4 linked regions of the Arabidopsis thaliana genome follow. The protein of the gene in region 2 interacts with the protein of the main gene of each other region in a pairwise test. Each region holds a gene or a part of one and is shown on either strand. Other genes may lie near its edges. The genes, in order: HAI1, AT1G19210, AT4G18340 and AT4G23050.

Region 1 (7,997 bases), on a different chromosome or scaffold from region 2:
ATAATTTTTTGCACCAAAAGAACTAAAACAAGTGTATTCCCTACTCGTAAAACAACAGCAGCATCTTTCTCCATTGCAATTTCCTTGAGGGCTTTTCTCAGAGATGGCACTGTGTTTTGTTCCTGTCATTCATCGATAAGAGTATATGTCAAGACATCTTGAATCGTTTACCAAATGGACTGTCCAGAGATTCATATTGCATGTCAAGCCTCACAAACCAATTAGTACAAAAAACTAAACAAACTGCAGCCAACCAGGACTAAATAAGATCACAAATAAAAGTTTACTTGTTACTTACCAGCACATTCAACCGAGTCTCAAGTGATTCATTCTCAACTTCCTTCGTTTGAAGCTGAATCCCACAGACAAATACAGTTTAATCAACATACAACCTTGGATCTAATATCCAACAAGGCAAAGAGATAGACACAGACCTTTGAAGACAAAATTTTGTTGCGCTCCTCCATTTCTGCATTCTTCTTCTGCAGTTCTTTAAGCTGGGAATATAAAGCACCAACATCTGTCTGTACAAGTTATTCAAAACAAACCATTATTACCAGGAAGATCATAATATCAGTAAAACCAATACAAAACTCCCATTTATGTTCATTCATTTACTCAAGAAAAGTTGAATGAGCCTATCCTCAGGACAATATGCAAAATCAAATTTGTCCATAAATCCTAGAAGACATGATTCGATTAAGGCATTCTCATTATCAAGACCGTCGCAATTCTAAAGAATCCAATTAGATCACCAGGTACAATTTTTGATAAGCAGAGAAATGCTACCTCAGAAAGTCGATTTCCGCTCTCAGATTTTCTGATCACTGGGAAATCTGAAATAATGAAGTAGTCAATCAAAATTGCAAAGCTAGTGGAAAAGGAGATGGCAAAACATTGAAATTGGAGATGAATAAAATTACCGGCAGGATTGGGAATTTCACTAAGATCTGGACCTGAAGAAGCTTTGCTTAGCCTTTGAGCTGCTCTCTTTTGACGAATCTCTTCCAACTACAAGATCACAGAAATTAATAACAACAAAAAAGCACCGATGTAAGAAACTGTCTTCAGATGAAGATAAAGACGGCCATATCGGAAATATCCTTACAGTACGGCGACCTAGAGACGCGTGGTGCGATTCCATGGTATGATTCCTCTCCTCGGAATTTCGAACGTCGATTTAACGGTGAGGAAATCGCCGGCGACAAAAATGGAATATATCTATATTTGGGCTTATAGGAGTGTTAAATAGGCCCATGGACATATATAACTCTCTGACCTTGAAAGCGAGCCCAGTTTTTCAATTTCAAAAAGAAAAAAAAAATTGAATAAAAGTTGAAAACAGGATGATAAAAGAAAACCAGTTTCCGACAAAAAAAAAAAAAAAAAAAAAAAACCAGTTTATGCAATTGCAAAGACATTTAAAAGAAAAAAAAACGAGAATGTTCAAAAAAATCGTTAGGCGATAGCTAGGAGTTCGATTCTAAAAAAGTTACCAAAGTTTGGCGGTTGGAAACGGTTGGAAGTTATCAAAGCTTGAATCATCATTTTGATTTCTAAGTACTTTAAACAATGTTCAGTCTTAATGATCGACATCTTCTAATATGTCACATGATAAAGTGTGAACCATACCCGTTTGATGAAGAGTTATATAAACATGTTTTATAGATTATGTTGGCAAAAAAAAAAAAAAAACGTTTTACATAATAAGAAAAAAATGTTATAATATTGAATCCTCCCAATTAACCTTTGAAGTATTCTATACCGATTGTTTGCCTTGTTTAGTTACAAAATACACTTGAAAACAAATTCCTTAGTAAATATTTGGTTCTTTTCCTATTCTTAAAGATATCAGTCTAACATTTCTAATATTCCTATAAACATCGTCCTATATATAACAAAAAATAAATTTAAAAAGGTAAGATTTTGTTATGATCAACTGATTCTATTAAATTTAAAATTAAATTGAACTCAAGTCTTTCACATTTCACGGCTTTTTACCATTTTCACTACTGGTGAAAATCTTTGTAGATCTAAACCGCGATTCAACACAGTGACTGACATAACCCATAGTCAAGCTAAATTAAAAACCCTTCGTTGTCTTACACCGAAGAGCAAAAAAGGTTAAAAGAAAAAGCCCAAAAGTCGATGACTCAGGACAAAAAACAACAAACATTACGAGAGAGACAAATACAACTACGTGTCTCGTCGTAGATCAACCACCACAACACTTACGTTGTCCGAACTTTGTCTAGCCAACGCAAGCCTCGTCAGCAACAGCGACGCCTCCTCACACGCTTTATCTGGCAAATCTCCTCCTCCAACCACCACATTCCCGGCGCCGACACCTGTCATTTCCCTTTCCGGTGATGATGATACTTGACCATTGACTTTTCCTCTCAAACACATTCGAACGACGCTACATGCAGTTTCGTTTGAAACAACGTCCCAAAGACCGTCACTTGCGAGAATAAGAAAATCGTCTCCGTTGGCCCGGTCCGTCACGGTTACCTCCGGTCTGCTGATTACATACGGCTTCAAGTAATTATCTCCTGAAAAAAAAAAAAAAAATCCGCGGCGAAACGAGAGTTAATAATCATCATTATTGAAAGTACGGAAAAACTTTGTACAAACATTAGGATAGGGACAAGAGTGTTTTCGTCAAGTGTAATCAATTAACTGACCAATGGCTCGTGACATTGCAAGTACTCCAAGGACACGTGGGCCATCCCAGTAGATAACACGACCACCCGCTGCTTGAATCCGGTCTAGCTCGTCCGGACGGTCTGGCTGTTACAACAAATTTAAACAAGAGAGAGAGAGAGAATGATATAGTCATTGATAACAGTGACACGAAGGATTAAAGAATCTTAAAACTCATAAACTTTATCAGATCCTCTATCTAAAAAGTAAAAAGTCATTAAACATTCTTAATCGTCGTCCAGGTGTTGCATGCACATTAAAGAAGATTCTAATTTCCAATAAATGAAATAATAAATAAAAAATGCATTAAACAATATTAATAGGTAAGTTTCGAACGCAACACGTAACGAAATTCTCGTTTCATTACAGTGAGTAAACCATAACCGTAGATCTAACGGATAAACATTTAACGATGGATAAACGAAACAAGAGAGATTATCAAAAAACGAACAAAACCTTATGATCGGAGGATAAAGCAATGGCTTTGCCGTTACGACAGAGAACGGCACGTGAGTCACCGCAATTCGCCACGATGATTTTCTCCGGCGTAAGGACAGACACAACCGCAGTGGATCCCACCGCGTCGCAGTCCGGCCTCTGAAGCTCGCACCGGCATTTTGCCGCACCATCGGCGTTCAACGCAACAACCTCCATGTCCATGCGCGTGAAGCTACGCGCCATTGACTTTTCCCAGTCAGCATCAGCTTCAAACTCTTCACGGACTAGCTCGTGTAGTCTTTCTCTACATTTCATCGCTACCTAAACATCATATTATTAAAATTAAAAACCGACGTCGTAACGGTCAATTAAAGGATAATTTTTATAATAAAACGACGTCGTACATGGGAACAGCCATGGCCATCGTAAACGCCGCAATAGTGAAATCCGGTGGATGAATATTCCGTCTGATGACGGGAAAAAAACGGATGCACAGCGACGGCGTCTTCCATTTCACGTCTTCTTCCACAGACTGAAGCGACGCCGTATTTAGGATAAGCTTCAGGATCAGGCAATGCCACAACCGTTGAACTAAGAGACTCGCATAGGACGACAACTTCCTTCGCCGTTTCGTAAAACACGGTGGAGGTGGAGGCTGCGACGGTGGATTCTCTTCTCCTCCGCCTCTGTAAGTCACCGTCGACGAAGACAGGTTCTTGTTCGCCGGAAACAAACTTAAACCTCCGGATCTCCATTCTCCTTCTTCTCGCTGCTTGAGACGAGCTCCGTTCTCGTCTCCTCGTTGTCGTCGTTGCCTTCTTCACCACCGTCGCCGTCGTTTCAATCATCATAGTCTCGTTCTCGTAACAAATCTCAGCCATGTGATCGTCAAAACTATTCAACAAACACACTCCATCACTCTCCCCCGAAAAAAAACTAGTGAACGAGACACAGGAGAGAGAAGAAGAAGAGAAGCTTAAACAAGATTAGCCATGGAAGCTTTATATTAGCTTCTTTCACCAGAAGATATAAATAAATATAATCATCTTTATATTTACGGGCAGATGACCGAGACTTTTGAACGGGCAGATCAAAACTCAAAATCAAAATGAAGGAATGAAGAAGAGGAGATTGTTGAATGGCGTGACGTATCGCTCCTCTATCTGGACGACGAAATCTTGACCGTTGATTGTGTCCACGTGTAAAACGTACTTCTCCTAAATCGCGATACGAAACACTTACGTGCACCAATCAAAGTCTAACACTACTCAGACCTAAAGTGAAAAAGAACCTTTGATGACACGCATGCGATCTCTAAACCTCTTTTTTTTTTTTTAAGATTTTTACCAAGTTTTGTTGTGGAAATTTACCTTACCATTTTAATTTGTTTTACTATAAATACAACTAATTACGTCATCACTTTCATCACAACTTACTATTACATATGGAAATCAACCAATAGTTTGTTTTTCTTTCAATCATTTAATATAACATGAGATCTCTTAACCTCTTATTTTATAGATTCTTACCATATTTTGTTGTGTAAATTTATTACCACTTCCATTTGTTTTACTATAAACTATCACTAATTACGTCATCACTGCTAATCAATTCAATAGAAAGGTTGGAAACAAATAATCTTTTTATCTGAGTGAAAACTAAGATGGTGTTTTAGGCTTTTAGCTGGTGATGACGATTCATCGCGTTTGTTTCATTGTGAGCGTGACAATACGGTATATATCATCGTTTCTAAAGTTTGGTGTGTTCAAGGACAAATTATTATAGAAAAAATTGACCATCTGCGACTACGAAACATAAGAGAAAAATGTGATAATTGTAGAATATGTCACTACAAATATAACCTTGGTGCGTGAATACTTCTTAGAAACAATTTGAGACTGCATATGCTTTTTTTTTTAATTAGAACAATTTCTTATTTGCTAGAAAAGTAAGTTCAAATTTGTGAGTTATCATTTCAACACTTGTTTTGTTTCGTTTGTTTTACTTGTCTGGTCTATTAGTTTTGTTCTGCATTTGTTCCATTTGTTTCATCCCTTTTTTTATGCTGCAAGTGCAAACAGTCAGAGTTTTCAAATAAATATATTTAAGAGATTTTATATGGGCCGGGGAACTAATATTCAAAGATTTTAAAGGATATCTTACCTAGTTTTACAATTGAGATGATGAAAATGAATTTGAAAACTTATTCATGGTTTTAATCTTGACAAGTGTCCGGAATATTCAATGATTTATAATCGTGCAATCTTATGACTTATCAGACAGTTCTAAACTAATTTTACATCTATTTTTAAAATATCACCATCTTATGTTTGACATTACAATTTTCTTAGTTGATAAGTAGCATTTTGTGAATACAATAAAAGTGAACATCATTCTCCAATGTTTGACACAATATTGGGTTTTTGGGAATTTAAAATAAAAGCAACTGAAAAACAGAAATGATCATACGTTCTACATTGGACAATGGACATGTTAAATTCGAGTGAACTATATATTATACACTTATAATTTTCTTTTGTGGGCAAAAATTATAAGATATTCAATCAACAATTAGAAATAAACAAAATATAACGTTTTCAATTCTAAATCAATCAGGAATGACATCCAATGAGATACAAGTACGTAGATGGGTTTTGGTGGAAACTGGGGACCACTTCTCTATTACTAACATTTAACAACGTTGACCCCTCTCTGACCTGTTTTCTTCCTCGATGTTCGACACGTGTTTACATTCTCTACTTTTATGTCTTGACCAAGATTTTTTCTGTGTCAACATTCGTTTACTATGCATTAAGTAGGATCGAGAGTTGTAATTTGGGCTTTAACTGTTACTTACGTTACGCCGATGAATCTTATGTTTATGTAATGTGATGATGATATTTTAGTTAGTTAGTATTAATACAAAAATAATTCATAACCTAACTAAAATTAAGGAAAGAAAGAGAGAAGCTCAGCTTTTCGCGGAAAATTCTCTGGGACGTGGCGGCAAGCAATAGGATGATGATTTGAATTATGTGAGTCCCACATCACAGAACAAAACAAAATCAAAAGGTTGAAAAAAAACGAAGCGCGTGTGTAACACATGACACGTGTCCTCTGAAGCTGCATAGCAGTTGCCAGGTTTTTGAAGTTGACAGTAGGCAAATACATTGTGCCACGTGAAAGCTTCATCTTTCTTTCAAATATTATTATTATTAAAATTTAACCTGAAAACAAATTCGTCATCGACCAACAAGTCACTAACCATCACTTTCAAATCTTATGTAAAAATATAAGGTGAAAATTAGTTCCATTAAAATCTATGTTACTTTTGTTGTTTGTTTAGTGATTTCAATATATATATATAAATGTTGGTTAACTATATCATTTGATACTTGATAGGAATACGAAAAAATAAAATTATAACTGAAACATGGTTAGTTACTTTAGTAGGTGGTTGGAGAGCTTTCGGTAAGGAGACAATATATTGTCCTAGCTAGTTTGATTAATTATCTCGTCTTTGTTTTGTAACTTTGAATTGAAATCTTACCAATTTGTCGTTGGAATTTCCACATCACACATGATTAGTTATATACATTAATACAAAATGCTTTTCTTGATAATGAACAATGCCCGATCTCATACATTTTTCAAACTCGATGTTGAGTTATGTGTTTAATGGATTCTCCTGTTTAAATTTATTTCAAAACCATGCGCCAAACTCAACATCTAGTTTGAAAAACACAAACTTTAAACTCAAAACACAAATATTTTTCCTATTCCTAACCACTAGTCTGTAAAAGCTTAATGTTCCAATCTAAACGTAAGTTGTTTGAAAGAAAGTTCGGCAATTACGAGGAACCAATGAGGTGTCACCATTGTCCACAAGACATAAATAAGGTTTAACTCTAAAGTCTAGTTTTGAGGCCTAAGGAGACGCGTGTCGGACACAAGCCCCACGTTGCGGTTAATGGTCGTTGAGGTCGCAGTTACCAAAGGAGAAGTTTCAATAATTACGTGGCAAATTTGATTCCGACACGTGTTCTCCCGGGGCAGATTTTTCCTCGAGCCTGCATGGCCGGCAGATTGCGTAGTCTTTGAACTTTTACTATGTTACGTAGTCGACATTTGTCAATTTGGTACCAACCTTTTTTTGTTTTTTAAAACAAGAATTTCGACACTCGTAACCTATGATTTAAAATGATACTATATGATCAAATTGTCAAATTATTATAATAAGCTTATGGAAATTGGAAAAATACTAATCACACAAAGCCTATTGTACTAACACAAAGCCATTGTCAAATACACTTTTTTTTTTCTTTTTCCGAATCCATGACGAACCATACAGTTACAAACACTAAGCTACAAATCCTGGTTAAAATAATTACATATGAGTCTTTGTTCTATACGCTAAATGTTTTGAGAAAATGATTGCTGTGGTTTGGCTAAACCGATTCAAACAAAGTCGTTGAGTATTTCTCCTAACCAGTAACCTCGTACATATAACAATATATATATAGTATGGTGAATTTTATATTTCTTTCAGATGCAAGCAATATGGCATGTGAAATTTGACCGTTGAGTTTGGTGAGGTTGCTCATCTGATCTAATACGCCATTATATTATACTAATTTATGCTAATTAGTTTAATCAAAAGATTAAATATTCCTCAATCAATGTTTAAAGATGCCATCTTTCCAGATCACCACGTGTTAATCAAACCCGACATTTTGCAAAACAATTTCAAAACATTTTATAATTTGGAATTGACGACTGTCCGGGGAAAAAAGGAAAAAAGAGGAGTAATTAAAGGGACATAAAACCAAAAACAGGAAAATTCCAATTTCTTCTCC
Region 2 (6,472 bases):
TTCTTTACGGGTCGGATATTCGCATTTTGTTAATAAAGCTCTTTACGTTATCTATTAAACTCTTTTTCCTTTCAATATATCCAGATTCTATTTTTAAAAAATTACTGCATATTATATTAACATTTTTGCCACTTGTAAACATATAATGCAATATGTAATTTGAATTTGAGACAATTACGTAACTAGATTCTTAATTCTTCTTCTTCTTTTTTTTTTTTTGAATATAACTAACTGTAGGATTTGTCAAGTTAATAGTTAGTGGCTAAGAATATTCGTTTTGGTTTAGATAAATTATAGTAGCATAATTTCATAACAATTTTAAACTATTTGTTTCAATTTTTTTAATTCCAATTAATCCTTGAATTTCACTGGCTTAATTGATTACTGAATTGTATATTTTTTTTTCTTAAAAGATATTCATTGAAATGATTATATTGAAAACCCTTAAAACATTAATAAGGTCGTTGTCAAATATATCAGAAAATAAATATATAAAAATTAATAAGACAAATACCCTTATTGCCTTTGTTTGAATGGGCCTGAAATATTATTATTAGGCTTAATCGTACAACTTAAAGTAAAAATTGTAATTGAAATTTAATAAGACAATACCCTTATTGATTTTAATGGGCCTGAAGTATTATTGTTGGGCTTAATCGTACAGTTAAAATAAGATTTGTAATTGGGCCTAGTGAAAGCGATTGGAGTGGATGATATCATGATAATATGATCAAATGACGTCAGAAGATCCAAATATAATTGTTTTATTAAGTTTGGCCTTTTCCCATCTGAAAAATCTAACACGTGGGAAAAAAATAGTGAATGAATAACTCTTTATCCCAATGATCAAAAAAAAATTGGGTAAAGAACTACAAAAAAAAATAAAAAACCCAAGTCAAAATTTTCAGATTGTGAATAATGGAATTCAAAAATTCCAAAGAAACATGGAACCATCGGCGTAAGTCTCTTCTCCAAGCTGATAATAATCTTGTGTAGGCGAAAGCTGCTCTCTGAAACGATCACCGGAGTATTCATCGGAGAAATCATCAAACCCAGGGAATAACCCAAACTCCGAAGCGAAGTTACCCGAACCAACCGTCGGAAGCATACTCAAAAACTCCGAATCAACGTCCATCGATGTTGAAGCAGATTCTTGCCGTATCTCGTATCCTGCTCCGCCACTTGAATCATCCTCCGCCGAATTAGCGAACCTCGCAGCAGCTTCTCTTATCTCAGATCGCGACAAGTTACGTCCGCCGGAGATCACCGGAGGATTATCAGGGAAATTGAACTTTGCGTTGTTGCCACGGAGACAATAAAGAGCCGCGTCGAAAGCACGCGCCGCCTTCTCAGGAGTATCGTAAGAGCCCAACCAAATACGTTCTCTGCTGTTGGGAAGTCTGATCTCTGAAACCCATTTTCCCCATTTCCTCTTCCTCACTCCTTTGTACTTTGACTGCATCGAAGAAGACGACCCTTCCATCACGATTAAACCAAACAAAGACGCGATTGAACCAACCCGGTATGATTTCTCTGTTTTCCGGTTTAATTTTGTTCTGTTAAGTTTTTTCAGTGAGCTCTGTTCTTCAGTGTTAGTGTTGATTTGAATTGAGATAATTGTATTTGGCGCTTCAGAAATTTATTTATACGAGTGAAATAAAAGAGTGAAGAGTGAGTTTTTGACTTTTTATGGCGCGTGAAGAAGAAAGAAGGTCAGCTTCAAAGGTCAAAGGGAGCGCGTTTGTACTTAAAACGCCGCAAAGTGTCAGGGGAATGGACACGTGGCGGATGTTACTAGAAGCTTGAGTCTTAATGTGTGTGGGTCACAACTCACACGGGAAATCTCAGAGACTGTTTGGTTTTCTTGTCCTTGTCCTTGTTTTTCACGTGATTCTTTCTTTAACTCCTCTCTTTTCGTTTTCAAACGTTGAAATGTTGAATATTTCGCTGCGTCTAGAGGATACTGGTATAAAAGAATCTGAAATGATCCCTGATTCTTAGGAGGCACTGAAGAGAAGAAGAAGAAACGACCAAAGATTCATGATTAATGAAGGTAATTGTTTAGTTACATTAACATTACATCTTAGTATCTCTGTATAAGATATGCTCCTCATAGACTTGTCAAGCATTATACTTGTTATACAAATATGGAAACAAGAAAGTACAACAACATCAAGTTAGAATGAAAAATCAAATCACTGTCCTATAAAAATGTTTATATACCGTGCAGTATCTTCTTCTTCTCAGTTTGTTGTTTGCAGTACATACACACAAAAAAAAACATGTACTTTGCGATGGCCTCGAATGATAATGTAAGTTGACTTGGTATATTTGCATCTTTTTATTTCTATCTGTTGAAAGAAGCTGCAGCAGAAGTGTCTTCATAGTGTACTTTCCAAGCATTTCCGCTGTCTGTTTCGCTGCAGGCTTGGTTTGTGGTTGGGATAGCTGCAAGATCTCCGTCTAAGCTCATTTGCTGAACTTCTACTGATGATAGTATCTTTATGTTCTGCACGCAGTTCACAAACTCTCTGTGGAAAAAACAAACAGACAAGAATTATCAGAATTGTTCAATCTTGACTGTTACAGATAGATTTTTCAGGTCTGGAACGTACTCCCAAGGATCATCACCAACTAGTAAAATATCGTTTTCGTGATCGGTGTAGACGAGTTTCCAATCAGAGGTTAGCGGATCTTCGAGCTGTCCTTCGATGCCAAACATTCTCGCTAAGTCATGCCTAAGTTCATCATAGCCGCTATAACGGGTAACATCTATTGATCTACCTACTGACCCTCGTTTTTGAACCTTCAATGATTTAACAACTTTCGGCATTTAGCATTCGAAAATTAAGAAGCAAAAGATTAGAGCTATGGAAAGGGAGAGAAAGATCTCTAACCTTTGTATATGTTCGCATTCGTTGAGTCTGATTGGGCCACAGTCCTCCACCATTCATGATTCCTGAATCATTGATGCCGCCAACCTCATTTGAACATCCGGGCTTAAAGGGAATGCTGGGAATACCAAATGACTGAGAACTGATTGCAGCACTGGACAGCTCCGTCTCAATGTCTCTTGGTGTGTTGCCATAGTTGGGAACCAAGTTTTGAAAGTCCTTTTGAGAATAGAGTGGATCAGAAGTTACGGCTTCGAGATTACCAGGGAAAGCTAAGTTGTTTCTTGGATGATGAGATTGGCAGTCTCCATCAAAACCAAATGATGGTAGTGGGAAAGTTTGTTGCTGCTGTACAGGGCCAACAACATCAGGACAGTACGTCGTTCCCGCTGTGGATACATCGATTTGATCTGTTACCGCGCTTTTAAATCTGAAATGTTCACCAGCACTCTTCATATTCATCATGCCTTGACTGATCCGGCTCTCAGTTTTTGTATAAAGCTCTTGGACCGGATTGCTTGCGCGCTCAAAGACTGAATCAGATGCAGATACAGATGCAGCTTGTCCTTGCTGTTGATTTCTGCTCAGGAAATTTGTCGGTGAAACATTATCATGTCCCGTGTTATTGGCGGAAGGTGAGGTTGAACAAGAAGGAGCTTCTCCATCTGTGTGGCCAGAATGTGATCTTCCAGCGGCTACAAGATTTTTGTTACTCATCTGTCCTTGCTGCTGAGGACTCACCTGAATCTGTGGAGGCTGCATGAAAGTTGAAGCTGGGAAGCTGTTATTACCATGTGCCAAGGGCTGTTGATTTTGAGACGACAGAAGTTGTTGCAATTGATGGCTTTGTGTCTGCTGCAACGCTGATAATTGTGGCTGTAAGGATGAGCTTACTGGAGGAATCGACTGCTGCTGTTGCTGCTGCTGTAGCTTCTGCAGTAGCTGCAACTGAAGCTGTTGTGAAGGACTTGGTTTTGATGATTGTTGTTGCATTTGGAGTTGCTGAGGATTTTGGGACAGATTTTGTTGTAATGAATGGAGAGAGGACTGTTCTTGCTGGTTTCTTAATAACTGGCTACTGTTATGCATTTCCAGTTGCTGCTGAAACTGCATTTCTTGCGCAAACGATGTCATTTGAGACAAGCCTTTATTCCCCATAGAATTTATGTTCTGGTGTGTCATTTTAGCACCAGTAGGGAGCATTGACTGCTGCTGAAGCTGAGACTGAGAGAATCCAGTAGGTTGGTTTGGACTTTGACAAGAGACTTGGTTAGCAACAGCAATCGTACCATTGTTATAAATCCCTTGTTGCTGCACCTGTTGCTGTGACATCTGTAGTTGTTGTTGTTGTTGCAGTTGTTGTTGTTGGTGTTGGTGTTGTTGTTGTTGTTGTTGTTGTTGTTGTTGAGATTTCACCATGGCTGGTTGTGCTTGCATCTGTTGGCTGATATGGTTAACCGTGTTCGGTTTGTTGAATTGGGAATTTGCGGAAGAGAGGTTTGGGGATTGGAAGTTCAACAGCTTGGAAGGGTCGTTGGAAGCAAAATTGTTTGGTAGGTTAAAAGATGAGAGCGCGGACGGGAGCTGAGGAGTAGCAGAACCTGACAATGGATTGTTTTGCTGCATACTCATCCATTGAACTAGACTTAAACCAGGGAACATCGAACTCTGTGCGTCCTTCATCCCAAAGTCTTCTCCCATCCAAGGCATTGCTCTTTTGAAAGCATTTTCCATGTCTAACTCATCATCTGCAACAAACCACCAAGGTTAGTATCCGGAAACTCAGTCAAAGATCTATGGGAAAAAAATGAACGAAAGCAGTAAACTCACCTGGCATCCCGGGTTGCCTCGGGTACTTAGGTCTGAAAAATGGAGGAGGACATATGTAAAAAGGAGTTATGACGGGTTCGATTTCCCATATGGATACTCGGCTTGGCCTATCTCCAGCTGTTGATTCATCCCATCCTACCTGTTTAAACCATGAACAAAAGATTCAGAAGAAATGACCATCATAAACAGTTTAGCATAACTCGGATATGTCATTACCTGAAGATTACGCCATTGTGAGCCTTTCCATCTTACAGGGTCAAGATCACTAATACCTGTGACTGTACCCATATATCTACGAACCCCACAATCCTCAGTCTCAAACATCATCCGGAATCTCATTCCTAGAGATACTTGAGCGTATAAGGCTTTGTTGTATTTGGCTAAAGGAACTACAAACTCTGAAGGACTTGCCCTTGGATTGAAGAAGATGGTAAAAGGGCTACTATTGGCATTAGCATGAGCTGCAGCTGCAAGTATCCCAATGTGCATACTGTCGCTGGATATGACCGATGAGGAAAGAGTCGGAGTTTGTCTATTTGCACGTCTTATACCCAACATCAGCTGTGATTTCTCATCTCTGCAAACCCAAGTACCCTTATGAGAAGATGAAAGTCCAATTCTGCTTAATGTTTTGATCAAAGTATGACTCATACCTTACAAACAAAACTGAATCACCCGCAAATAGTCTCTTTGTGCTAACAAAAACGCTCCAACCTGTGGTAAGCAAGTGTCTTTTTGGTTGGCCTGAGATCAGATTACATCAAAGAAAACAAATCAGGTTGAAGTTTTCAATCTTTTAGACTAATAAAACAAACTTTAGATGATTCAAACCTCGATAGATATGTCTGAAAGTCCATGTAGTATCATGTAAATCTTTAGCTACAATCTCTTGCGCAGGCGGTTGCATCGAGAAATCCTATTTTAAGCACCCTTAGAACTTTTAGCAAAACAGATTCAAAAGTTTGAAGCAAAAGAAACTGAGAGTAGCTTTGATCAGAGAGACATACAAGAGGAGGGAATATTTTCTCAGCTGCACGACGCGGTACAGAGAATCCACCATGAGTGCTTGTGTCACTTGCAGTAAGAGTCTTGCAAAAAAACTCAGTAGGTTGTCTGTTTAGCTTCAAGCCCATATCAGAAGCTAGCAATGCTTCTCTATCATACTGTCACACATTTTGAGCAAAGATCAGCATTAAAGTCCTCAACTTTAAACCAAGATAGCACAAGAAGAATGATATAATTCAGACCTTATTCACAGGTTGAAGAGTCATTTGTGCATAGACTTCATCTGTTTCGGTATCAGCCTGATTCAGAATTTCACAAAAGTCCTGATTAGTTCATCTTCTTGTTGATTCACAAGTTGGAGTCAGAAGAGACTTACATGTAATGTAACACTGTGAAGCAAGCAAATCAGCTTAGAAGGAAGATTTGGGTAATTTGGTATAAAATCTGTTTGCTTCTGCATCGATGCTGCAACCTGAAAAAAGGTTTCATTGAACATATTACTTAGATTGCTACCAAAGGTTTCAAAATAGTTTGAAACGCAATGAACTTACTTGCTCGCTGTGTCCTTGAGGGAAGTAAACCACAAGACTTCCCACAGGAGGTAATGAAACTAAAGGCCCTGCACAAGCGTGCCATAGTTGAGAATTGATTGGCTTCTTCTCTCCTGTTCATCATCATCACACACATATTCAAATCTGTTAAAAGTGATAGAATTTTTGCATAGTTTCATTTAAAGTCTGGAA
Region 3 (7,813 bases), on a different chromosome or scaffold from region 2:
GTCAAGAAAGATATGGTGAAACTCCAACTGACGTCTCCGGTGTGTACCACCATAGGAGAGAAGGTTGCTTTAAGCCGACGTGTCGATAGGCATTGGCGTCTAATTGGTAAGGGTCAGATTATGGCTGGAACCACCATCGATGTTCCTCCTCCTCCTTTCTAATGAAGTAGTGATGAGTTTTTTATATTGTTTGCATTCAAAAATAATTAACATGTGCCTTTGTATGTTTAATCACTTTCTTTCGACTACAATATAAAACTATATTCATATTTAACACAACATTGACGAAAATTTAAAAAACAAATTCATAATTTCATTAATGATATTACTTATCACTAATTAGGAATTATATAATTCTAATTCCCTCCTCGTTCTGAGCTTTTGTTTCATCTTTACGCTCTCTCTTACTCTCAGCCAAAACCCTATACTCTCTTTCAATCCCAATGGAAGATTTGGTTTTGATGAAACAGAGTCTTCTAAAAAGCTTCATCGTCTCTCTTATTCTCACTCTCGTCTTCCTCATCTCACCATCATCATCATCTTCGAATCAAGAAACAAGAGTATCATCAACACAAAAAACGGAAGCTTATCTCAACGGTTACGAATCACCGCACCAACTCGTCTACATCAAGAAAACGACACCGTTTATCTTGAACCAGCGGTTGCAACGAGACAACCACCGTCGTCGTCGTTACAATCACCAATACTACTACTACTATCGACATACTCTTCGTCATCGCCGTGGTCTTCATCATCGTGCTGGCTACTTCAAGATGATGGCCAAGAAGAATAACGGTTTAAACCGTCCGGTTCGACAGGATACTTTCTCGGTTATGCTTCCCAAAGGATTCGTACCTCCTTCCGGTTCATCTCCATGCCATAACCAGAACCCTAATTCCGCTACTACTCTCTTTTGCGATCTTTCTACACAACCCTAGATATCGTTGCCGATACGTCGTACGTGAAACGATTTTGTTCCTCTCGTCGCACTTTTGTATTTTTCATCTTTTAAAGATTTTTTTTTCTTTTTTGTTCGGAATGACCGGTGCATTGATCAGTGCATTTTTGACGGTCAAGTGTATGAAAATAATTTGCATACTAATGTTTGATTGTTCGTGTCCTTTGATTTTTCAGAAAGTACTTATTTTTCCTTACGTGCAGCTGAATTATTTTATTCTATAAAACTAAACTTGACTGATCGGTAAAATAATATATGGAGAGAAAAAAGCATATGTGTCTATGTTTTCAAGGTCAAAACGCATCGTTTGTGGCAAGAACAAGGGAGTATATTGAGCCGATATAATTGGAAATGAGCATGTGAATTTGCATCGTGAGCATAAGCTCTTGTTTCATGGCTTTTTTTTCTTAGCTTCAGTTCCAATTCTTCGTACCGTCCACTCCAATGCATATGTTTGCATTCTAATATCTATATTATATAACTAGCTAGGGATTGTATTTAAAATATCCAACAACATATACAAATGAATTAAGCTATGCCATATTTCTTGAATTAGAGGGAAAAAAATATATGGTTGATTCTAAACCGCTACTGGTTATCGATTATATGCCTTTTGGTCAAAGTTACTACTTACTCAAACCTTTTCATATACGACAAGTTTTTCTTAAAAAGTAAACTTTGTTTCTTTATTATATATGTCAATTACTTGTTAACGACAACAATAAATTTAGAATTTTCACTATTGACCGACTTCATTTGAATGTTGAATTGAATATAAATTATATTTATCAAGCTTATAATTAAATTGTTTACATAAATATCCTAAACAATCGCGTTATTATATTGTCAATAACTTTTCCTCTAAAATAGTCTCAACATTACAACTTGAACCATCGCCAATATCAAAATTGTCCAATACTCCAAGCTCCTCTTTGCCTGAAAGAAGAAGAAAACAGAGAATTAATTCATTTTGCACATCTAGTCCTTTCACAAACTTATTCTCGTCGTGGCCCCAATAATTCCAAATTCTAACAAAATTCACCACATAATACTAATCGTACCTTAGTGGCAGAGGATGAATAAGTGACAGATTCTGAATTTGCCGTCGTTGTCGACATTGTAGAGAATCCCAAATTGTAAGCTAATGATCCATCTGGTTGGAATATACCGTAGTTTTTCTCCGAAGTAGGACCTGGTTTCATATCTTCATTGAACAACGCAAATATATAAACATCGAGTCTTGCATTCCGTCTCGCTGGAGTTCCTTCTCCGGCGAATTGCCTCATCATAAGATTCCGGTTATACGTGGCAGCATTCACAGGAGACGCTCCAATCTCTCCGACATCTCCTTTTGAAGGCCACCCTGTTTCCGCAACCCTAACTTCTATGTTACGGTACCCTAGTTTCGCAGCCGCGAAAGCAACTGCGTCAACTTGAGCATACATCATGTTGTCGTAGTGTAGTCTTGTGTTGGGATCGGTCATGCCGATGTTACGGTTGAATAGAACGTAATCGACTGGGATTTCTTGTGGGTTATCTTTGTAGGCAAAGTAAGGGTAAGCATTTATCCAAAAAGGAGATTTCGTGGCTTCCAAGAAATCTAGAAGTTGTTGCATCACGGAGGAAACCTCCGGCTTGAAACTTCCGGCAGATGGAGGATAAGATTCACCGAGGACGGCAAGAGAGCTTGGAGACGAGACTTGAATGTATCTATCTAAACCTAATTGGACCAAGGCTTTGTGGATGTTGATTATCGCCGGCATCATGTATCTATTACCAAAAAGAGGAGAGAATATAGTCAAAATTAGCAATTATTGGACAAAAACTATTACACTCATTTCTTATTGAAATTCAAAGTGGAGTTTAATAAATATAATATTTTTTTCGAAGGAGTTCGTTACATTTGACCAAGTGGTAGTCAAGAAAATGTGAAATCAGTTAATGAAAAAAAACTAATTCTGTGATCATGTAACAAATTAGACTAATATTCAACGATTAGTACTTACCCTATTAAACTAGAGTCGTCGTCGGTGAAAAGCTCGTTTCCGACCATAATTCCGGTAATCCTAGTGGCCGGAACATAGGGTTTAATGTGAGAATCTACCCATTGGGTAGCTTGTTGAGGATCTTGTAGTAATGGTAAAACCTGATTTTCGATGGTGACGATGATCTCGATGTTTGAATTTGCAAAGGCACTAAGGATTTGAGGGTTAGTGTCGTAAATTCTTGTTTTTGTGATCCTTAAAGATCTCAAGAGGTTAATGACTTTATCCGGTGAAGGCAAATTGTTCCCAACTTGTCCGTAATTGATGCCAAGAGACGTTACTGTTTGTAGTATATTCCCTATATTTCCAAACAAAGAATCGAACTTTTAGAAAACAATGCCAAAAATCTTTAATATTCCATTAAACAAACATTGAAAAAATGAATTCTAGACTTATTATCGATCCGTTATTTCACTATGTTAAAATCTTACACGTTGAGGTTTTAAGGCGGCAACGTAAAGCATAACTTAAGTGTTAAGAATTTGGTTTTAAAATTTCAGAATGAAAAAGAAAATAACCTGAGAAAACGAGAGAAAGCAGGAGAAAAACATGAATGAGACTGGAATGTCTTGTGAATGTTCTTGATGTCATGTTGAGGAAGAGAGAGGGAGGGAAAGAGATTGTGAAGGTTTTGGGTTTTAAGAGAAGTGTTTAATGGAATATTTATAGACATACACAATAAGCCAACCAAGGTGAAGAATACTTTTCTTCGCTTGTTTGTTTTTTTTCCGTGTTTTTTGTTGTGAAAAGGTTTAGTGTTGAAGTTTATGTTTTTTAAAAAAAGTGTTTTTAAATTGTTTAGCTTTGCCTCCCTATATTGCTTTTCTCATTTATGCCTTTTTTATCCACTGACGGCTTTCTATAAACCACAACGAAGGATTTCTTATTAAAGAAAATTATTAGGTTTTAAAATATTTGTATGTAGTTATTTATCATATAGCTAGATTAATGCAGACTCTATGACAAGACAATTTGCATGCACATGTATGGAAGGAAATACGTTGTTTGTGTGTTTCGTTTAATTACATGTACTATACAAGTGGTGTTAACTGTTGGGTTGGTAAAAAAAGTGAGCAATGTTATTAAATTAAGAAGAGATTGGGATACACATAAGTGGACGTGTATAGAATATTGAAGAAGTTTCATAAAGCACCGGAAAATATTAAAATATTCGTTTCAATTAAGTAGGTGAGTCGTGACTTAAAACAAACTTGTACTATACACCAAAAGTTTATTCTACGATAATCATGGAGAAAAAGACGTGGTATAAAAATTAATATTAACACAATGAAATTTTAATAGATAATCATGTCTTGTAGAATAATCATGAAAGGTAAAATATCAAATTTTCAGCTAAAACTTCATGACAAAAGAAATTTTATAATGGGTTATTAGTCCCACAAAAATGGTCTTTATTTTTCTTATTAACTTTTACTACTATTAATATTATTATCTAATTTATCTGAATCATTGATTTTACTAATCACGTGTTAATTATGATTAATTTAATGCTAATTCAAATTCGAAGAATAATGATTACATTTTCGCATGAATCTTGACCGCAAGTGTATCCTAGCCTAATTAATATGACAAACAAACCTTACTATATTTCTTTAGACAAAAGCTAATTGGAGATCCGATTTGACTTGACGTGTCAAAGGATTCAATAGTACACTGAGGAAGCCTCCTCCGTTTCTCCTTTAAAGTTTAATATTTTCAAATCTCCCGGGAAATATAATACATACAAATAAACATATATCACATATTTATTTTCTTTTTGTAATCCGAGGCTTTTGGACGGAAATTCATACAAGTCCTCGAAAGTTATCAAGAACGGGATATCCAAAATTGTATTCGTGAAAGATATATAAGTCGTAATATAATTTGCCATTAATTGTCAAGAAAAAATCTCAAATATATTGTTATTCGGATTAAGATGATAGAGAAGGGATATACTTACTTTCCTTTAGACAAAAGGATCATGCTTAATTTTGAGGCACTTGTAAAATAAAACAAGACAAATATGATAATGTATAAATTGACAAATAACTAAAAGCATTAGCATAACAAAAGTAAAATAAAATGGTCAATTGGGATAATGTTGCTAATATGCTTTCGAGGGGAATTAGACAAGTTGGCGGGGCAGTGTCACACACTTGGAGCCGTCGGTCAATTTCAACCATCGGTTGTTTTTTAATCACCTGACATAATAAACCCCAACAAAACTTATTTAAGAAATAGTAAGTGCTTTCGCTTGGTTGGCTATTGATTTGTTAATCAATTAATTTCTACTTACTATATTTTTAAATGGTAAAATATAAAGGGTTAAACTTGATCACGTAGACGATAGTCAATTCGTTTTCTCGAAAGGTTGGCTAGCCAGAAAATTACATTAATTTAAAGTGGAACTTTTGGCTGTATTGATCTAATCCAAAATACCCTAGTGTCTTCTTTTCGATTCTATAATATTAAATCTTCTCTCTTTTTCACGACACCAAGAGCCATTTTATTTGAACACATGTATACAACTTATAAGAAATATACCCGTCTCAAGCTATTGAACTTGTTGCAATTAAAAATGTAATCGTTCGATGTTGGAATTAAATATGTGGAAAGGAGTCAAAATCAGTCAATTATTCAGAGTGGCCTGTTTATAGTTGGCTGAAAACTTTTAGTTCGTCGTTTAAAAGTTTGATTTCGTGGCTTAGGATTGACCACCGGTCGACTTATGGCAGTTCCATATAGATTAATTTGATAATGACGTAACTATATACCATACACGGCCGAACAGATTGTTTTATATAGGCCTATATGTGTAAAGTTAAAGATAATTTGATTTATTATCGAGTATATGACACAAGTTTTAATTTATTTCTAATGTTTAAATTTAATGATTCTGGTTTAGTTCTTCATGAATATGATCTAGTTTGTTAATTATTTACTGAATGGACATATTTTTGGTTGCAGAATATTTCAAGTTTACGTTATCTGTGGATATTTTAATGTCCAAATCAGAAAGATCATATAATTGTCCAGCAAGTTTGAAACAGCAGACAGAAAAAGAGAATGATTTTGTTTTAGCTCGGATTGAAAGAATATGCCATTTAATCTGCAATTTATTTACAATATCGAATATGCAAATAAAATGACATGAAAGCTTTTTAAAGCAACACAAGTACTCAACGATATCAATGTTTTTGAACAAAGGTTAAGTTTCTTCAAAGAAAGGGTTTAACCCTTTTAACGCATGAAAAATAGAGTATATATAGGGTTTACTTGATTCGGATTTCCATGTTGGACATTTGCAAATGTATGATGCATCACACCCAACTGTGGGAATTTGATAGTGATAGGTAACTAAATTGGTTAACCATTTCCAACTTGGACCATGTGCGAATTGGTTTGAAGGTGGTAATATTAAGGTACCTTTGAATTCTCCCGCATGAATGATTCGGGAAGTGTTATAGCGGGTTTCTTAAAGAGAACAGTGTAGATAAGGGAGAAGATTGCAAAATCAAAAAAAAACAAAAAAAAAAAAAGATTGCAAATTTTACCTACTGTTTAACAAATGGATCAGGCCAAACCATCATTAAACATGCTTGACAGGTCTAGGTTGGGTTGGACCGACATGTTTTTTTTTTTACTTAACAATATATAGTTCACCAGATCAAAAATTCAAATTATATCTGCATAAAAGATACTAAGCTGCACCAAAGTGAACATATAGTTAAATAATGAGCCTATAACGTATCTAAAAATTCTTTTTGACGTCATACACTTGTATTTTATATTTGAACTGAACTCTATATACATATATTACCAAGATTCACATACTGTACTTAGTTTGGATTCATTAGACAAAATAAGATATTTGACGTCATATTAAAATACAGATATCGTGGGCCATTTCGAATAGTGGATATATATAATACTTATAATCGAGTCAAAATGGTGTAAAGCATTATTTCATAAAGCTGCCTACAAAATTGAATTTTTGGTGGATAATGGATAAGGATTAAGCGGCAAGATTTATGAAGAAGAAAAACAAGCTTTATGATCATATAGGAGAGGAAAGTTAATGTCTTATCCAACAACGATAATGCTTTCTCGATAACCAGTAAACATCGTGCATGCATGGCTAAAAGCTTTTACGTGTGCTTTTTTTTTCTTTATAGTAGTTAAAATTTAAATGTTCTTATACTAATCAAAGTGTTTTTCATTTATGACGCGCATACGTAAAAAGGGCCTTAAATCTATGTGTATGTTTCTCTTTTTACTCCATCTTTTTTGGTTAACGACAAGAAAATGAGAATTTCGAAATATTTTATAAAAAGTATGTAAATTTGGGTGCGACATTAAAGGATAAGACACGTAATATTTTAGAAATTTATATTGAAAGTTCAAATTTTTATATTATTAGGGGACAGCTTATCGTTGGTTTTAGTTGTATTTTGTTTTGTCAACTTGTCTGATGTCATGAGCTTTTAGGCATTTTCGATTCTAGAATTTTAGTTTTGCATGTATCAGAGAATTGTATTTAAACAAATTAGACACATATTCAATGATTATTACTTACCCTATTACAATGACAAATAAAAAAACGGAGACGAGTCTAAAATGATAAATCCAACGTGTAGTCTAGTCATACATCGTTGTTCAGTTGTTAAAAGATTATAAATTATACAGCTTTATTTCACAGTACCGAACGAGATCGATGTCACTTACTCTGTAACTTCATAATATCTACGCCTTTGTATATATACAGATATATGTTGGCCTTTCGTGTATAGGGTTGTGTATATATTTCTTT
Region 4 (9,782 bases), on a different chromosome or scaffold from region 2:
ACAAAAAGCGTCAATACTTTTTAGAGGACCACACTACGGACCCCATAACGGATGACGTCAGTTTTATGGGTCCATCGCCGTAATCCAATGTCTATCGTTAATAATCCATCCATGATCACGTTTTTTTGTTGGTCCCTACTCCGTTTTTCGTCTCTTAACGTAATAGCTAGCGCCGTCCGTTGCTACGTCGTTTTGTGTAATGGGAAATCGAAGTCGGAATCCAATTCTTTCACTATTTTGACATTTGTGGGTTCTTGTTTTTGTTCTTCTCTTGTCTTTCAAACATAAATGTATTATGTATGTTATAGGACAAAGAGAAAAAATTGTTTGTTGTTACTATCAGATTTATATGGAGGTTAATATTTTGGACTGTATAGTGAGATATTATTGCATAACAAATAGAATATTTTCTGACTATTTATTTCGTCGAATACGATTGGTTATATAGTTGTACGAATGAAAACTACGTAGTTTATCTACTTATATACTAATTCACAAAACAACATGACCACAAAAATATCAAAACAATACACGAGAAATTTGTCCAAAATACAAGAATATTTTCCGAGGAGAGAGATGCGACTCAACTTATCGAAGATATACTTTATAGCATAAGTCAGAATCAGAAATCTTGAGAAGTATATAAGCTAATTAACCAAAAAGAACTTAGTTACGAACTTAGGATTAATAAGTCGAGTGATAAATTTGCATATGTTTCAAATGTATAACCAGAATTAAGAAATGAACAAACACTACTAACAAAGGTTTTATGTAATCATAAACGAATCCTATGGTTCACGTGTACTACTTTAGAGAATCTAACTCGAAGTCAGTAGTAAAAAGGAAAAAAGAAATGGACCGACAATTAATCCACTGGAATCTTCGGTATGTCTCATGCAATGAGAAAAAGACAGGACAAAGACTCGGAGAGACGAAGAGACATCAGTCTAAACGGCCGTTACGATCTAGCCACGTGTCATACAAGTACAAAAACTTGAGCCTGCATGAATCTTAGTTAGTCGTATATAGTAGACTGCGAGTGGACGGTGGTTCTTTAGCTTTTTACAGGTTTGTTGACTCTGGTCAACTGCTTCTCGTGTATGAACTCGTTCGTACGTGTCTCCTTGCATTCTATCTCTAATTTTTTAATTCAGTCAAAATTACCAGCGGAATTGTTGTTTCCCCCACAACTAACATTCGTTGGCAAAGTATTTATGGTACAGTAATAATGCAAGTTGATCAATCATAGAGTTGAAGCATGAAATCTGGATAGGAGCATAACTAATCAAAGAAGATTATAATTTATTAACAAGATTAGGTGCACCTAATAAAAAATCTTATGGTTAATTAGAAGCATCCAAATTTTGGTTTCACTTTTTGAAATGAGATTGCAAAAAAAAATATGAAACTCATTTGTACGATTAATATCGTTAGTTGTTGGCTCAAACTTTCACGCCATGGAAATAAAAAATTGTTTAGATTACTATAGATCCACCAACACAAGCGATTATGGTGTACGTAGATAGGACAATGCAATAGATTATGGTTATTAAACCCTTTCATACAATTCGTAGATATGAGGACAAGATAAAATCTTGAGATAATAGAAATTAAGAATATATGAGTAGGAACTAGGAATGAACTGAAAAACTCTATCTTGGAATAATTTGATATAATATATATATATATATATATATATATTCTATTTGTTATTAAAAATATTGTTCGATTTATTATTTCTTGTTTTCGTTTGGTTTTGGGATTAGATTTTTTAGTCGTAAGGAAAATTTAGAAACCAACTAACTAAACTAAACCAGAATAAATATGCCTAAAAATAAAATAAAAAAACCTACTGACCTATAAAAAAGCATTTCAAGCATAACAAATTAGTAGTTCAACACTGACATTATTTCGTATCATGAGCCTCAATCATACCTAATCAATATCTTACAAGAAAAAAGTGAAAGTATCCATCTTCGAAACTTTAATCTGCTCTACTTCTGACAAAATAAATTTTATAATGTTCGGAAGAAAATATCATAGAAATTACTTTTCCATCCTACAATGACTTTATATTATTTTAAATTAAATATGCTGTCACTGTATTACGGTGACGGAGTATCCCTTTACAAGATTCCGCTTGGGTAATCGACACGGTCAATCAATCAATCACACATAAATAACACAAGAGCAAACACATGGTAAAGAAATTGGCATCAAAAAAGAAAATAATATGGTAAAGATGTTTCAATTGAAATATAGTTACATATAAATTGAAATACTACGAAATACATGCAAGGCAAAACAGCGAAAACTGTTAAAAAGTTTATTTGTCTAGAGGTCACAACCATGTGTTGTAAACGAAATATTACTATGCAGCTCGATGTGATTTGTTCTGACCTAACCAGACAAACAGACAAATATTTTCAATCCCCCAAAATTTCTCCTTTTTCAATACTTCTATAAGAGAAGTTCCCTTCACCCACGTCACATGCATGCACAATACATACTCGGTATAATAGACCCATCTTTGTATCCTTTTTTTTTTAATTATGCTTTTGTGACTGCGTCAATTTCAAGATGCTGTAATGTGGAATTACGAATAAGGATTGAAAAAAAAGTTTTATTTAGGGTTCTGACTCTCTCTTATAATTAGGTGCTGAGAAGCTACAGACGACGCAGTGATGGGAAGCTGTAATAAGAGAATATTAAAGCAAAAGAAGCAATGCCTACGAATTGTCACTCCTCCTTCTCTTACCCCATCAAACCAAAACCAACTACATTACAATTCACTACAAGACACCATCAATCTCACAGTTTTTCTCGTATTTCTCTTTTTCACCCTTTTACTTCTTAAATTACATCTGAGTCCTCCTCTGGCCTCTGCGCCTCTGCCTTTTTAGATCCCATTTTACAACTTAGCTCATAAACCGACAACAGTTTATATAATGCATAGTTTAACTAAACTAACCTAAGATTCTACTGTATATTACTTTGATTTAGCTATTTTTGCTTTCTTTCTTTCAATGAAAACATAAATAGTAGTTTGGTATAACACAATGAAACATTTGTATAGTAAGTGATCAGGACGATGCTTTCGTTTTCTTTTCACGTCCTTTGCTTTGTGAACTATCCTTTAACCATGTACTGTTTACCTTCTCAATCGTCTTCTTCTTGCGCACCTGACCCTGGTTTGCGGAACAGGCTCATCATCTGACTAATTAATTCCTCGAACGACGGTCGTTTTGCTGGATCACTGTTTCAACAATTTAGAACAAAGAATATAAGAAAAATCGCCCCTAAGTTTGTAGGGTGTATTTGATGAAACAATTTACAGATGCGTCTTCTTACGTTTGCCAACAATCCTGTATTATGGATGCGATCCGGGGATTTAATCCTTCAGGTAAGTCTAATCGTCGATCCATGAAACCAACAACTCCAACAACCTAATTTAAAGTTGCTAAGATTACTACAATCTTATGATCAAGCTATAATCTCATAAGAACAGAATTTGAGAGGTACCTGAATAGAGTTCAAACGGTCCCATGGTACTAACGTAGTCATTAGCTCCCATAAGATGACTCCAAAGCTGAACACATCACACCTATTACAACGAAAGCATTGAGCTTTTAGTCCAAAAAAATGTTCAAGTTATTGAATAATGTCTTCGAAAAGAGAACAAAAAAGGGTTAATATTATATCCAACGTACTTCTCATTCGAAGGTTCACTTCTGAGAACTTCAGGAGCCATCCACTGCGGCTGCACATAGAAAAAAGTTGAACAATGTTTAGTAACAGAAATCCAAGACTGTTTTGTGGATTAAAAGAATCAGAAATGGCTTTTGTTAAACATTACAGTTCCTTTCCCGGATTTAGTACTCAAGAAGGTTGCGTTCTTCCACTTTGATAACCCAAAGTCTCCAACCTAGGGAAGAAAGAGTTGAAAGTCCATGCAATAGTAAACTCATTTTACAAGTCTTCATAAATGTAACTTGAGAAAACTGTTTGTACCTTGACATTCCAGTTCTTGTCCACGAGTAGATTGGAAGATTTCAAGTCTCTATGTACAATTGGCGGATTTCTGCGGTGTAAGTAATTCATTCCCCTAGCCTGCAACAACAACAGAGAACCCGAATATAATCAGCCTTTCATATTTTTTTCTTTCATTGTGAGGGAGGTTTTTGGAAGATCAGAGTCTTACAACATCAAGGGCCATTCTTAAACGGCGTTTCTTGTCCAATGGCTGATTCGTATTATGAAGTATTTTGAAGAGACTCCCTCTAATCATCAAAACCGTATAGAAATAACTTAGCACAGAGTATTCATCTGCAATTTCTTGCAGCATAATATAACACACTCGATAAGGAGTAACACTACTTCCAGATCCATACGTCAATAATCTCACCTTGGCATATATTCCATGATTATGGCAGATTTTTCTTCTGTACATACTGCTCCCATAAATAGTAGCACATTCGGATGTCTCAGTTTCTTCATAATGTTGATCTGAAGATATTATTGATCAAAACTGATTTATTTTGTCTGGTACGAGTAACTTCTAGAAACAATTCATAACAGAGAGAACTAATTATACATACCTCCTTTTTGCACTCCGTCAAAGTCATCGCATTGTAATCACCATCGAAGTAAACCTTAATAGCAACATCCTGGTCCAAATAGATTGGACTAGTTAGTTATCCATGTGCAACTAATACTAGAATCATCCTTATTTTATCTTAAATTACAGAAAACTCACCGATCCATTCCAAACTCCACGATGAACCGCAGCAAATGAACCTGTGAGAAAATGTAACGCATCAGAAATACTTGTAATCTGATTTAAACAGCAATGACACAGATCTGAATTGAATTTGCATATCTAAAACGTGAAAACGAGTGTAAGACTTTGGTAAATGAAATACACCTCTTCCGACCTCCTCCCCAAGTTGTAGATCTTCCCATCGTATCTCACATGACGAATCAGTAACTAATCTATTATTCCTTTGGTTGACAGGACTTTGTTGCCTACCGCTGTTGACTCCTAGAATTGGCAAGGGATCAACACTAAGACGAGTATTCCAAGCATCTTCTATCTCACCATTTAGGTCCGACATTTTTGTTCCCCGCATGCCAGACACCAAACCACTCTCTAGTCCTCTGGGAGGTTTACTTTGTCCCAGGTTCCCAATATACTGAAAGCGATCTCCATTATGTATCAAACCCTCAGCTCCATTTCCATAGACATCTGAAATTCTAACTTCAGCCCTTTTTGGTTTTCCATTGCCATTGTCTCTGAAAGCCGTGCAGGTAACTGCATTAGAAGCCTTAGAACTACCTCCACTGCCACATGCTGACTTATTGATACCGTTTCTTAAGATAGGCTCATTATCTTCGGTTCCTTGGCTGCCAGTAATCTTCCTTTGCAGCTTCCCCAAAAACTTATCCGCCTACACTAGTGTATATGCAGATTTAGCTTATAACATGAGACAATAATCGTTCTAAGAAATGTCAATGAGAAGTGTCTTGTTTAAGGAGCCAACGAAGACTTACCAGTGAGCCATACTTCTCGAAAGTTGTGGAGGCAACAACCGGAACATTTTCATCTCGGCTCCTCGAATTATGATTTCCATTGAAGGAATCATCTCCATTTCTCTGTGGTAGAAGCTTCGACGCCTTCTTGGTTTGTGCAGAAAACAGCAAAACAAACAATCATTCATGTTGCACACGAATTATTATATAAAAAAAAGTACTGAGAAACTTCGAACATTCATGATGTGAGATCTACCAGGTTTGAAGCAACAGCTGATGAATATTGTGGGACAACTGGAACCTGTGATGCTGCAGCGATCTGAGGCCTCGGGAGGTGCCACTGATGTTTTCTCAAGTTTGATTCATGTCTATTATTACTACGAGCTTGTTGTTGATGCTCATTACTTAGTGGATGCATCCTATTGAAAAGGGTTGCATCGCTCGAGACAGTAACAACACCAACCAGCTCACCGTTTTCATACACAGGGCTTTTAGTCACCAAAGCCATAAATAGTTCACCAGTTTTCTTCTGAAACGGAAACTGACCAGTCCAAGTCTCTCCACGGCACACCCTATTCCTGATACCAGTAAGGGAATTACGGTATTCTTCGGTTACAAGCACATCAATAGTTCTGTAGCCAACAACTTCCTCAGCATACCAATGGTACAGATTCTCAGCAGAACGACTCCTGAATAATAATAAAAGAATCTCTCCACTCAGAAACAAATAGTAAATGTCCACTTGCATATACAATGAATCGCTATATATAACTTTGTTTAACTACTTAAACACACAATTCAATGAAACAGTACTTAGAAGAACTATAAGCTCCTGATCTACAAACACCATAGATGAAGAAGAAGAACTTATCAAGCTCACCAGAATGTAATTTCTCCAGACGCAGCTGATGTTACATGAATCGCGTGTCCCATTGAATCCATCAAAGTCCGATACGCACTATCAGCGAAATAGAATCCTGAAACAGCTCTCTCCCAAGTCGCCGTCGGATTATCCCAGGAATCCGCCGCCTCCGCTTCCACCTCTACCTCAGCCTCTTTCTCCGTGTCCGTCTCCAATCCCGTCGCCGATTCCTTACCGGTTCGACTCTCCTCCTGAAGCAATAAGTCATCAACATCCTCCCTTAGTCTCGCTTGACTCGTCTCCATCCTCTGACACCACTCCACCAAAACCTGGTAGAGACTCGATTCCGAGTTGTTTCCGGCCATCGTAATCGCCGGTGACTCTGTTTGAGCAGTCGCATCAAGATCCGACTCTGATGAAAATTCACAAATTAAAAATATAATTTAAAACGTTGGCATTCCCTCATTGTTTATTATTTTTCAGCTGCTTCTTAAATCACTCGTGACGCCATAATTAACAAACCCCAGCTATTATAAACACTACGACGCATTAGCTTACGCCACGTGTGTTTGTTACTAATAGGATGCTGCCACTTGTAGAATTGCCGATGTAATTGAAGGTTGAAGAAGATTGAGAGATAATAGACGAATTTGTCACGATTTAAAAGTGGTGATTGACGAAATTAACCTCAATATAATACCCATTCTTGTTGCCGCCATTGCCAAATGGGCCTGAGTTTGATGGTGTTTTTATACCTCCAACGGTATTTGTCAAGAAGAAAATAAAATACACGTCTCTTCAATGTTCACATTCACATTCCTCTAAAAGTAATGTGCCCAATAAACTCAAAGTTCAAGTTGATTGAAGAACAATAACAATAAATTATAGTTGAATTTAAATGTAATCAATTATTAGTAGTATACTTCAAATCATTGTAGAATAATACTCTCCATAAGGTTTCTTAGAGGAAGCAAAGTTTAATTGGAGTCACAAAGCTAGTTTTGTTTCAATTTATCTAAAGATTTACTTTGTTTCTGGGACACAAACTGAAAGCCAACCCTTTTTTTTGGACAAAAACGACAATTCTTATATTACAAACGGCCGAAAGAGAACATGACAGCTCCTTTAAAGGCACTATATAGAGGGAAGATTGGGATGATCATAAAGTGAGGATATCTTTGGATATTTTAGTTTTGGGTTTGGTTTTGGTTTTTCGTTGTTGGACCGAAAAGCCTTTACATTTTAAGGCTTATTTCCATATTTACTGTCAAATTGACAAATAAAATATGTAATTGGTGTGAAAAAAAATAAATTATGTAACTTTTTTTTTGTACATTAAAAATTATCTAACTTTTAATGTATATACACTATAACAATTAATATCATGTTAAAAAAAAAGGTCAAAAAGTTCTTGGCTAGTAAAAACTAAAAAGATAAGTTTAATCCACTCTGAATTTGACTCGAATTCCAGTTTATAAAATATAAAGACTCTGAAAAAAAAAATCCAATTTCAACTGAATAATTATTTATTTAGTTATTCAGATTAGGACACTCCATATATTATCTCAAGTTCTCTGAAAATAATATCTTGAATATCACCGAAAATATACAAAAAGAATAAAGAAAATAAAGTTTAAGAAAATCCACACCAAATAAAAAAGGAGAATTAAAAAAAATGGAAAAGAAGAAAGACCCTAAAAAAGGCTTTAAAAATCTTAAGAGTCACCGATCCAATTCCTTTCTTCACTGCAATTTTTGTGATTTACAACATATATTAATTCTTGCCTCCTCCTTCACTCCAGCTCCAAACACAAATCTCCGACGAAAAACTTCTCTCAAGCTTTCTCTTTTCTAATGGCGACACCTACTCAGGAAGCTATTGACACCTTCATGACCATCACCGGCTCTTCCAATGCCGTCGCCGTTCGTAAGCTCGAGGTGATTCAATTACACTTCCCTGGGTTTTTTCCGTCTTCCTTCTATTGTTTAGATGTTATTTTGTTTTTGATTGAAGTATTTTTGGAAGTTTCTCGAATCGCTCAAGTGGTTGTTCGTTGGATCATCGAATTATATCTCCTCTACGCTTTTGTTATATCGTTGTTAAGCTCATCTTGATGCGTTTAGGTCGCAATTGGAGTTAATTGTGTTGAATTTTAGTTTATCCGATTATCTGATTGAGTTTTTATGTGGACTTCTTACAGAATTCTCATGCTTATTGGTTTTGTTAATTGTTCATTGATATCTAAACGAGTTTATACCTGCTCATTGTGAAATTAGTTGTGAAAAGTTTTGTTCTTTTTTGGATTTTGGTCTGGATTTTTGGTATTTTAGAGATATTCATGTGGGGTTTAAGTTAGTTATTGAAGTCAATGAATTTTTTTTCAGAACTCATCTTGTGTACAATTTTAGTTTGGGTTTAGAGAACTTTTTATTGTGTCCTTTGTGCATTCTTATCTTTTAGTCATTATTCTATTGTCTCAGCATCATTATAACTTGTAAGTTTTTTTTTTGTGTGTGGCTGGTGTTCCTCGTGTTTGCCAAAACTTACATGCTATCATTATTGCAGGAGTATCGTGGGAACCTCAATAGAGCTGTGAATGCATACTTTACTCATGGAGATCAAAATTCATATGATGCAATGGATATAGATGATGGTGTGACTCCAGTCCTCTCTGAAGCTAGAACAACGGACCCGTTCCCGCTTCGTGATCCAAACTTTGGGAGAAGTCTATTTGATAATGATCCTGTTATGTCGCGTCCCCCATTTGTTAGTCATCCAAGGGAGGCCAGGGAGATACCTATAGAGGTTAAAGACAGCAATGGGCCATCAGGTCAATCTAATGATGCTCCTACTATTGAGGATGTGACCGAGACAGCTCAAGCTCACGGTCCAGCTGCCCAAGAGGCGGTCATTATAGATGAAGTAAGTGATGATGATAATCAGTCTGCTCCAACCGGACAAAGTAGGCATGCTGTACCTGTTGGTTCTGCAGAAAATAATATGCAACATTACAATGATATAGAAGAACAAATTATTCGAGCTGCTATTGAGGCCTCCAAAATGGAGACTGGTGATGACGTAACAAAATCTGTCACAGTGCAGTCAGCTGAGCGAGAAGTGTTGCGCAGTGAAGGTTGGAAGGCTTCATCCTCAGAAAGAGAAGCTTCTGAAATGGTTTCTATTCCAGTACAGCAGGGTTCCCGAGCCTCAAATGGAAGGTTAGTTTGTTCTGTTTTGTAGTCTATCAGTTTGTCTTCTGTGTTTCCTAGACAATGTCCCAAGAAATTGTTTTTATATGTGTAGATTCGCAGCACCTAGCTCACTGTCTGAGGATGATGATGATGATGATGACGATGACCCTGATTATGTTGAGGAGGAAGAGGAACCCCT

What was found.
Region 1: the proteins of AT1G19210 (region 2) and HAI1 interact in a two-hybrid assay, tested with the Arabidopsis thaliana proteins (one large-scale study listed by BioGRID).
Region 3: the proteins of AT1G19210 (region 2) and AT4G18340 interact in a two-hybrid assay, tested with the Arabidopsis thaliana proteins (one large-scale study listed by BioGRID).
Region 4: the proteins of AT1G19210 (region 2) and AT4G23050 interact in a two-hybrid assay, tested with the Arabidopsis thaliana proteins (one large-scale study listed by BioGRID).

What each region holds. Positions count from the first base shown.
Region 1 is NC_003076.8:23,892,476-23,900,472, forward strand, and holds HAI1 (PP2C protein (Clade A protein phosphatases type 2C)), read right to left. Parts: upstream 4,465-7,997; 5' UTR 4,023-4,464; coding exon 3,546-4,022; intron 3,463-3,545; coding exon 3,160-3,462; intron 2,791-3,159; coding exon 2,685-2,790; coding exon of another isoform or gene 2,662-2,684; exon of another isoform or gene 2,553-2,661; coding exon 2,197-2,552; 3' UTR 1,929-2,196; downstream 1-1,928. Other genes in the region: AT5G59210 (myosin heavy chain-like protein), read right to left, coding at 45-122, 299-352, 435-524, 790-836, 924-1,011, 1,109-1,144. UniProt on the Arabidopsis thaliana protein: Acts as a negative regulator of abscisic acid (ABA) signaling for stomatal closure in leaves, and controls water loss during leaf senescence. Activated by the NAC029/NAP transcription factor during ABA signaling in senescing leaves.
Region 2 is NC_003070.9:6,626,048-6,632,519, forward strand, and holds AT1G19210 (Integrase-type DNA-binding superfamily protein), read right to left. Parts: upstream 1,642-6,472; 5' UTR 1,484-1,641; coding exon 926-1,483; 3' UTR 747-925; downstream 1-746. Other genes in the region: ARF19 (auxin response factor 19), read right to left, coding at 2,348-2,531, 2,616-2,806, 2,898-4,642, 4,725-4,863, 4,941-5,301, 5,378-5,468, 5,556-5,640, 5,732-5,887 and 3 more.
Region 3 is NC_003075.7:10,128,426-10,136,238, forward strand, and holds AT4G18340 (Glycosyl hydrolase superfamily protein), read right to left. Parts: upstream 3,768-7,813; 5' UTR 3,595-3,767; coding exon 3,522-3,594; intron 3,302-3,521; coding exon 2,965-3,301; intron 2,729-2,964; coding exon 2,020-2,728; coding exon of another isoform or gene 1,987-2,019; exon of another isoform or gene 1,895-1,986; coding exon 1,820-1,894; 3' UTR 1,625-1,819; downstream 1-1,624. Other genes in the region: AT4G18330 (Translation elongation factor EF1A/initiation factor IF2gamma family protein), read left to right, coding at 1-162; AT4G18335 (uncharacterized protein), read left to right, coding at 444-938.
Region 4 is NC_003075.7:12,077,086-12,086,867, reverse strand, and holds AT4G23050 (PAS domain-containing protein tyrosine kinase family protein), read right to left. Parts: upstream 6,809-9,782; 5' UTR 6,757-6,808; coding exon 6,410-6,756; intron 6,219-6,409; coding exon 5,786-6,218; intron 5,677-5,785; coding exon 5,551-5,676; intron 5,448-5,550; coding exon 4,925-5,447; intron 4,798-4,924; coding exon 4,757-4,797; intron 4,668-4,756; coding exon 4,599-4,667; intron 4,507-4,598; coding exon 4,406-4,506; intron 4,281-4,405; coding exon 4,202-4,280; intron 4,111-4,201; coding exon 4,012-4,110; intron 3,926-4,011; coding exon 3,857-3,925; intron 3,761-3,856; coding exon 3,711-3,760; intron 3,605-3,710; coding exon 3,523-3,604; intron 3,447-3,522; coding exon 3,352-3,446; intron 3,257-3,351; coding exon 3,160-3,256; 3' UTR 2,612-3,159; downstream 1-2,611. Other genes in the region: AT4G23040 (Ubiquitin-like superfamily protein), read left to right, coding at 8,246-8,329, 8,958-9,610, 9,696-9,782.